Caenorhabditis elegans: one gene and its partner. The protein of the gene in region 1 purifies or fractionates together with the protein of each later gene. This does not show direct contact. Each region holds a gene or a part of one and is shown in the gene's direction. Other genes may lie near its edges.

Evidence for each region. The genes of interacting proteins can lie anywhere in the genome.
Region 2: the proteins of src-1 (region 1) and unc-5 purify together in Caenorhabditis elegans (affinity purification with western blotting, with the first as the bait; one study listed by BioGRID). This does not show direct contact.

The regions. Positions count from the first base shown.
Region 1 is NC_003279.8:1,565,790-1,570,636, forward strand, and holds the start of src-1 (Tyrosine protein-kinase src-1), read left to right. Parts: upstream 1-1,819; coding exon 1,820-1,896; intron 1,897-4,547; coding exon 4,548-4,847. UniProt on the Caenorhabditis elegans protein: Non-receptor tyrosine-protein kinase which plays a role in endoderm development by controlling spindle orientation in EMS blastomere, probably downstream of receptor mes-1.
Region 2 is NC_003282.8:5,525,317-5,530,306, reverse strand, and holds the start of unc-5 (Netrin receptor unc-5), read left to right. Parts: upstream 1-1,968; coding exon 1,969-2,050; intron 2,051-2,381; exon of another isoform or gene 2,382-2,402; intron 2,403-2,666; exon of another isoform or gene 2,667-2,687; intron 2,688-3,604; exon of another isoform or gene 3,605-3,625; intron 3,626-3,937; exon of another isoform or gene 3,938-3,958; intron 3,959-4,399; exon of another isoform or gene 4,400-4,420; intron 4,421-4,990. UniProt on the Caenorhabditis elegans protein: Receptor for netrin (unc-6) required for axon guidance. Mediates axon repulsion of neuronal growth cones in the developing nervous system upon ligand binding.

The DNA.
Region 1 (4,847 bases):
ATGTTTAGGAATTCAACATTTGCATTATAAAATCGTTCTAAAAATTAGGAAAACTCTTACAGACTTGGTATGACAAGTCAAAATTGACAAAATATGAGTACAATTCGGACAATTTTTGCGTATCAGTCGTAAAATTCGTAAATTTTCGATCATAAGTTGTTATTGAAATTGATCATAACTTAATGGAAAACATGAGAAAAAACCTGTTCGAAAATTAGTTTTGCATCAAATTAGGTGTCCGAAAATTAGTTTTGCATGCCTTACTAATAGAGGAAATACGGTAAAAGTTATGGCGGCTCAAAAAATGGCCGACATTTTTTTAAATTTTTTATCCAAATTTCGCCGTCCATCGACTTTATAATACCTAAATGAAGTTGAAAACGCAGGATAATTACATTGTATACTCAAAATTTGACGGTGAATTCAAAAAAGTTAATTTCCAGCCGCTTGACAAGTCGGTCAAATTTCAAAATTTAACTTATCTTAGGCCATTTTTTGAGCCGCCATAACTTTTACCGTATTTCCTCTATTAGTAAGGCATGCAAAACTAATTTTCGGACACCTAATTTGATGCAAAACTAATTTTCGAACAGGTTTTTTCTCATGTTTTCCATTAAGTTATGATCAATTTCAATAACAACTTATGATCGAAAATTTACGAATTTTACGACTGATACGCAAAAATTGTCCGAATTGTACTCATATTTTGTCAATTTTGACTTGTCATACCAAGTCTGTAAGAGTTTTCCTAATTTTTAGAACGATTTTATTATGCAAATTTTGAATTCCTAAACATAGGGAACAAATTGAGGGGGTGCAAAACTAATAGAGGAAATACGGTATTTGGAGAAGTTTTCAAGAAGTTTCATTATGAAATTCGATGTTTTCAGACAATTTTGAGTATATTAAAGAAATTTAAAAAAAAATTCAACTACACCACCTTTAAATACAAAAATACTGATTCTGTTGGGAAAATATTGTAAATTTCTTCAAAAAATTGATAATTTTCGCGTTTTTTCTGAATAAATTCCAAGCGTCAGAGTTTATTTAAAACATATTTACTACCCCTCCATTTTCACTTTTTCCTCTAAAATCTCGTTTTTTTAAAATCAAATTCCCGCCAAAATTTCCTCATTTTCAGAAAAAAAACCTCGAAAATAAGAAGAAGAAGCAACCATTCCATATGCATGCTCAATAATTGTTGTTTGCACAAAAATACTGGTGTCTTGTGTGAGTTTTTTTGGAAAATTCAGAAAATTTTCACTGAAAATTACAAAACCTGACAATTTTTGAATTTCGCGACGATTCAAGTATTTCACATGGTGTCAGAGTGTCACATTTCGGCTTGATCTACGTTGATCTACAAAAAATGCGGGAAAACGGGACGCTGACTTCTCATCTGATTTTGTATGGTTAAGACCGTCCTGACGTCACATTTTTTGGGCAAAAAATTGCCGCATTTTTTGTAGATCAAACCGTGATGGGACAGGCTGGCACCACGTGATATTTGCAAATTGTAAATTTTAATATATATTAAAATTAACAAATTTTTTGAAATTTGTTTGAAAATTCTGCTTGTACAGTCTTTTTTTGCAGTTTTCCAGTTGTGGAAATGTCAAAAAAAAATTAAATTGACAGAGATTTTTCAGTTAAAAAAATTTAAAAAAAAAAAACGAAAAAATTCACAAACAATTTTTCGACAAACCGGCAAATTGCCGAAAATGAAAATTTCCGGCAAACCGGCAATTTGCTGATTTGCCGAACGAACGAGGCAACCCCAGTAACATTTTCCTGAAATAATTTTTTTTCAGAATAAATAATGGGTTGCCTGTTTTCAAAAGAGCGGCGATCGGGAGGCAGTGATATGGGTGTTTCCGAACGGATAGATGTCTCCAGGTAACTATTTTATAGAGAAATGTATTATTTTTTTGGAGACAATCAACTTTTTTTTTAGATAAAAAGTGCAAAAATTAAATACAGATTTGAAAAAAAACCGATTTTCCGGTTTGGTTTAATTTTTGGTAAAAATTTGAAATTATTGATTTTTAGTTAAAAATTAGAAATCATTGATTTTTCGATAAAAAATCATAAATTATTGACTTTTCAATTAAAATAGGAAATTTAGCTATTCTAAATCTACATAAAGCATGATATTTTATGCATTTACATGGTGGTGAGCGGAAATCCCCCGTTTTGCCGGAACTTTTCAATTCCGAAAATTTGCCCGTTTCACATTTCGATAATTCGGCAGTGATCAACAGTTGTTAGATTTTCGGCATTTTCTCAGCAAGTAAGTGCCCGATCCCAACAAATTCCGGCAATTTGACATTACTGAGTTCCAAAGAATTTTGAAAAAAAAAACGAGATCCCTACTGTAGTAAATGTTTTTATTAGAAATTTTTTTTTCTGGAATTTTTTAATCGAGACTGAACTCTTTTACAATTTCGAGTGTATTTTTTTGGAAAAAATGTATAGAATTTAAAAATGTATCATTTTCTCTGTCCCGTCTTTTTTTATAGAAAGTTTGCTTTATTTTTAGGCTATTTTTAGGCCAATGTTGTTTTCTAAGCCTAAAAATGAAAATAGTATTAAGATGAACATGTGCATTAAAATTGAAATATTGAATGTTTAAAATTATTTAGTGCTCACTTTTTCCGAAAAAAAAAATATATAAATAGAATAATCTCAGAAGAAAAACTATGGCATCATTTTTGCCCAATTAGATGCCAACGATGTCTTTAAAAAATTATATATATATATATATATATATATCTTTTTTTTTAAAAACATTTAAAGACATCTATTTGGGCAAAAATGATGCCATAGTTTTTCTTCTGAGATTATTCTATTTATATATATTTTTTTTCGGAAAAAGTGAGCACTAAATAATTTTAAACATTCAATATTTCAATTTTAATGCACATGAGAATGTTCATATATGTACTTCCTTTTCTATAAAAAAAATTTGATTGTTTGCCCACCTAAAAATGCACTAACAACGCGTCAATTCGCGTATTATATTTTTTTTAAAGGTGGAGTAGCGCCAGTGGGGAAATTGCTTTTAAACATGCCTATGATACCACAATGACCGAATATCATGGTTAAAAAATTCAAAAAAAAATTTCTAAATTTTATATGATTTTTTGAAAATTGAAAAAATCTCAGTTTTGCCTAATTTTTTGTTTTGCCTAGATTTGTTCGGTGGAGCGCGCTTGCACGCTTTTATTTTTATTTATTGTTATTTTTTTATATTTTCCACCGATTTTCAATGTTTTCAGTGTATTTTTGTCTGAAATTTGAAGAAAAAGTCAAAATAAATGCAAATGTTCGATTAAAAAGCATTTAAACGACGATTTCGAAACCTGAATTAATTAATTTCAAAGATTTACGCTTGTGAAGTAGCTTTTTAATCAAAAATTAGCATTTATTTCGACTTTTTCTTCAAATTTCAGACAAAAATACACTGAAAACATGGAAAATCGGTGGAAAATATAAAAAAAAAAACAATGAATAAAAATAAAAAATGTGCAAGCGCGGCGCTCCACCGAACAAATCCAATTGGGGGTAATTCAAAATTCAAATAGGAATTATTAGGCAAAAATCTTTTTTTTACCATTTTTTAATTTTCAAAAAATCATATAAAATTTTTTTGAATTTTTTTATCATGGTATTCGGACATTGTGACCCCATCACTGCAACTTTTTCCTCACGAGAGACAAGGAAAAGTGGTTTCTAGGCCATGGCCGAGGGGCCGACAAGTTTCAGCGGCCATTTATCTTGCTTTGTTTTCCGCCTATTTTCTTTCGTTTTTCATCGATTTTTTTCGTTTTTTCTTAATAAAACTGATAAATAAATATTTTTTGCAGATGCTAAAACAATTTCCAAGTAAAAAAATCATGTATTCAGTGGGCAAGCAGCGGTGAAAGTAGTCGATGTAATATGATGGATTACGGGAATACAAAACCTAAACTTTTTCTGAAACATGATACATATGATGCTTAGATGCTTAAATTACCTGATTTTCATAACGAGACCGCTGAAAAAGTTTTGAGGTTTTCAAAATTCAATTGTTTTTGGTGAAAAAGTAGAGATTTTCGCACAAAATGTTGAATTTTAAAAATCTCTAAACTTTTTCAGCGGTCTCGTTATGAAAATCAGGTAGTCTCAGCATTTAAGCAGCATATGTATCATGTTTCAGAAAACGTTTAGGTTTTGTATTCCCGTAATCCATCATATTACATCGACCACTTTCACCGCTGCTTGCCCACTGAATACATGATTTTTTTTACTTGGAAATTGTTTTAGCATCTGCAAAAAATATTTATTTATCAGTTTTATTAAGAAAAAACGAAAAAAATCGATGAAAAACGAAAGAAAACAGGCGGAAAACAAAGCAAGATAAATGGCCGCTGAAACTTGTCGGCCCCTCGGCCATGGCCTAGAAACCACTTTTCCTCGTCCCTCGTGAGGAAAAAGTTGCAGTGGCTACTCCACCTTTAATTATTTTTCCATTTTTTTTCCGTACACTTCCCCCATTACCCAAAAAGATATCCACGCAGATTCCAAACGCCCCAACAACAGACAGTATTCCACGTGAATAACGGTGGAAACGAGGGAACCATCTCTCAACTAAACGGAACATCAGACGGAATGATGGGAAATGGACGTGGTGGTGGTGGTGGAGGAGGAGCACAGGAACGTGAGACTCTGGTCGCCCTCTATCCATACGATTCACGTGCCGACGGGGATCTTAGCTTTCAAAAAGGCGATGCTATGTACCTATTGGATCATTCGAATTGTGATTGGTGGTATGTTCGACACCAACGAACCGGACAGACTGGTTATGT
Region 2 (4,990 bases), on another chromosome or scaffold:
AAAACTTGACAAAATAGAAGCGAAAACTTTCTTGTATTATTTTTTTTGAAACAAGTGCAAAACAGTAGTCCAAATATTTGTTATCTTATCTTGTTTTTTTTTATTTTGTCAAATGTTTTTGTTCAAACCTCTCAAATAATTTTTAAGACACCTATTATTCAAATTTGTAGTTTTTCCTTCCAACCCATGAAAACCTACAGTAACCCTTCAGGGAATCTCCCGCCTTTACCACGAGAATTTCTCTTTATTATGTTAATTTCAAGTTTTTGAGTTAGGCGGTACTCTTTTCATTCACTTGCTCAAATATTATATTTTCTCACAATTTCTCACATAATCTTGCTCTGCTTGACACATAGGACGATTAACATTGAAAGTTTAATAAAATTATAACATTTGACTTTGAAACAGTAATTTTTTTAAAAAAGAAATGTTCAGATGTCACTAACATTTCAAAAATCATGGTTTATTTATCAAAATAATGAAACAGGCTTTTACAGAAAAAATTGTTCTCTAGCTAACATCTCTAGTGAATAGTAAGTATTTTCAAAGACGACTTTTCTAGAATCTGCGTAACAATGGAATTCAAATTACCACTCCCCATATAATGATCTCTAAAAAATGTTTTTAGAAAAATTTTCCATTTTTTCAGATTCCATGCTTTGTTGTCTTAATTTCCACTATTTTCTATTCCTTCAGAATTCAATCACTGAAGATGAAGCACACATTTTTTTTACAGTTTCAATTGGATCTTTTGTGAATTAAGAGTATTTTTGTTTTATTGAATCCATTATTGTTATTGAGACAATAAAGCTTATGAGTTCCATGTAAGAAAAAGTTGGTCTGAATATTTATCAAATTCAAAATTCTTCAATAATTGAACGGGTATTATTCCAATTCTAATACAACTGTGAAATTATATAAAATTCATCAAAACTATGAAACATGTTTTTACTGGATCAAATTTTCTCTGGATGATTTTTTTTCATCAAAATCAATTTTTTCTGTATCCTGATTATATTCAAACTAAACCAAAGTGTGCAAATTGAAGAAAAAAAATCAACTCCCTTTTTTTAAGTTCGTTTAAAATTCCAATAACCTCCTATTTGTTTGAGAATTTAGTTTCTTGAAGCACAAAATATTGTTACAGTTTCAGTAAGGCTTCTTTTAAATTCAGATTTTTCTCCGACATTGCCTCGTATGATACCTTTGTATTTAATCCGAAAACAAATTCTTGAGTGTTCTATGATTGTAAAAAAGTCAAATAAGTTTTCTATGAGAAAATACAAAAATGTCTCTGTAGGTGAAGTGTAATAACATTGCAAACAGATTTTTACAGTTTTTTGAGCAGCAAGGAGTTTACATATCAGCACGAAACATCACGAAAAAGTTATCTAAAACTTTTTTCTAGATAGTTGAAATTTATAAAATTTATTTGTCTGTTTCAGTAGATTCACTTTATTTAATGCAACTTCAAGACCATAGTCGTATGTCAACAATTGTAACCCCTATATTGTAATTAAATTAAAAAGTTGACTGTTTCACCATGTTTTTTTTCAAAATGTAATTTCAAATAAGTTTTGATGTTCTGTGGTTTTTCGTTCCATTTTTTAAATAAGAAATAATTTTGGATCATTGAAAAAAAATCAGTTTAGAAAGTGAAAAAAATCTATAATTACTAAGTTTACAGACAGAAAAGTTCACTATTTTTTCCAACCCAAATCTAGAAAACATTGAACTCTGTCTGTGGTCTGGTTGGTTGTCCAATTTGTATTTTTCGGACCTTTATCCTTTCTTTAACATCTGGTTTTTATTACAAGAATCGCCGCTCTCTCTTCCTCTTGTTCACATGTCTTCCGTGCTCACAAAAACCTTTTTTATTTCTTCACGGGACCTCCACAATTTTTTCATTTTGATTTTTATTCTTTCCATCAGTTTTTCCTTTTAATTTGAAAATTTGAAATTCTACAGATGGAGGACGACACGCCCGATGTGAGTTCAGATTCCAATGGAGATGCAGCATACAGCGATTATTTCTTGGACTACAAATCAAGTGAGTTTCTGATTTTTGAATTAATCCCTCTTATTTTATCCTACTTATAAAAAAGTTAAGGACTATCTTTTCTTTGTTTAGAAAATATGCCAATGGGTGCCCCCGGCAGGGGGTAACGGGGGTAAATATTAGGAAGTATTAAGAGGGGTCAGTGAATTGTTTGGTGTTAGTTTCAAGGAGCTATGACACTTTTTTTTGATGATTTGTCAGTAAATACTAGATTTGTTTTACTTTTGGTATCTGTATGGCCACGGTTTGAACATTTAAAAAATTTGAAAAAAATTACTGTTTCAGAAATTGTATAAGTATTTTAAATTTCCTTGTGATGTGATTGCGTTTGTTAAAAAAACATTTATAAAATGTTTATATAGTTTTGCAAAAAATTCTGAACTGTTTTCCCAAAGTAAAAATTCCCTCCGACGAGGAGGCAGACTCTCTCGCTTTGCAGACTGCCTTCTGTGTTTTTTTATAAAAACATTTCTTGAAACAATAACGTTACTTTAAAACTTACCTCAAAATTATCTTTGGTTGTAACATTTAAAAATCACGTGAATTTTGCAGAGATTCTATACATTTTCACAATTTTAATAAAGTCTGATCTATGAAACGTTATCAATCACACCTCTCCTTAAAATTGGGAATATAACGGAAAAGTTAACAAATTAAAGTTTAGTCAATATTTCTAAAAATTAACATTTCAAGAAAAATTTGATCAAGCAGTCATAATATACTCTAGCGCTTTCATTGATGGCAGGCAGGCGTTTTAATTTGCCTAACGTCTACCTGCCTTTTGAATATCCATTTTTATTTTGCTCTTTCATAAAATCAAACATGAGTTCACTAGCAGCCGACAGTATCTAGGTCTTGCGACTCATCATAAAACTATAAGTAGGCACAGAAACAGGCAGGCATTCTCTACCTTACTTCAGTTAGTCCCTTTCTCCAATTTCTTCCGTTTCCCACTCACTCATACATCATTGAACCTTTGAGAAGGTGTCCCATCTCCAAAGACACACGTGCCGCCACTTAATCCCAATTCTCGCCAGAACTCTTTTCACCACCACCACCAGTTGCTTCTTCTTCTTCTTCTGTTGTTTTTTTGTGTGTGTGCTCACCTCTTTCCCCTCTTCTCCAATCATCACCCATTCACACCACGGATGACTAGGTCCGATGATTTTTGCCGCCAAATGATATTGTTGTAACGTTTCCTGAGTCAATGATGATGACGACGTACCTGGAGGGGGGGGGGGGAGCGGTATTCTCTTTTTGATGGACCCCCCGTACATTCCCCCACAGGTATACCTTAATGTCAAATGTCAATCAGAACGAAAATATATGTTGTTGCTTTATTAAACTGTTGACATGTGTAAACAGAATATTTTACTTACGCATTAGTTTACTTTATGGCTCATAGATTCTCCAGTTGATAGATGTTGTAAAATTGGGAGAGGTTAATGGGTGAACGGGAGTGGTGTCACCTGTTTTCACATAGTTTGTATTATGACACTGGTTGCGATAAAATTTCAGTTTATAATCTGATAGTGAGGTCCAGCCGCGATAAAAATAAAGATTATACTAATAAATACGAGTATCGTTACAATATATATAAGATAGATGAAACTGTAAAAAATTTGAAATTTTTTTTTCAAATTTTCTTATCAAAATTTATATTCCCGCGATAGCACGGATTTTTAGAAGGACTATCTCACGAAGGCAAATTCTGAGTGCCTGCCTACCTTCAAGCTGGCCGCGCCTGGCTTTCTTATGCAGGATTTTTTAATTTATGGCGGAAATATACATACTTTGATGGTCTAGAAGTTTTAAACGTCATCCGGCGTTCGAAACAAAAGTGAAATATAAATTTAAAGCAACAATTATTTTAACTAGTACAAACCATTGGCGTATGAAATAGATGCAGTTATCTCTACAAAGTTTGAAAGTTATATGAAACTGTAATTTTTTTTTCTTAATTTTTCAAGTTTTCCCAACAAAATAGTTAAAAATTCTGTTTCCATGAGAGCATTAAATACCATATTTTCTTCCATTTTCTCCATTGTAGAATAGATTCGGGTGCAGATTATTCGAATCAGATCTACGATTAAAAAAAAATCAATTCAAAATTCAAATAATAAAAGAAAACAAAACTACTAACCTGTAAATTGGCAGTAGTCTATCTTTTGTGTGGTGCCTACACTGAAATTTTATTTTGTATTATGTTTTACATTGGTAGCGTTAAACACAGAAACAGAAGCAGCATCAATTATGAGAAAGTGTAAAAAATTGAAAATGTTAGCAATTATTTTACTGTTTCATATAATTTTCAAACATCGTAGAGATAATCGCATTTATTAACATCATGGTATCATCGTTCAAACAATTTATTCTTTCATTTTTGGTGATTTATCCAAAAGCTGTTAAATTCTCAAAATATTAATTTTCTTAAGTTTCCCCTAAATCAACTTGTTGTAAATTTTTTCAAGCTATCTGAAAATTTGCTAAAAATGGATGATAACTAGAAAAAATCGTTAGATTTAGCAGAATATTTTCCAGACGACTTTATTAAAACACTTGACCAACTTTTTGCGGTTAGAACTCAATCAATTTCCAGTATTCTTGGGAAAATTCAAAAAATGAAATTTCTGTTTTATGAAACTTTTAAATATTCGAAGACTTTATAACCTTGATTAGTCTAGATTTATCCTTTTCCAAAGTATTGTAAATGTTTCGAATATGACCATAAGAACCCCCAAATTCTATCTATTTCCGTCACAAAATCAAAAATCCTGGTGTTTCTGTGCGTCTCTCCGGTCTCTATCACTCTCTCGAATTATTGTGAAACGAGCAGTTGGTTTAGTTGGAAAAGAGCTTTCGGGTGTGATTTTTATGATGAATCGGCGGTTTTCTGGGGCGAAAAATAATCAAGAAAGTTGAGATGTATGG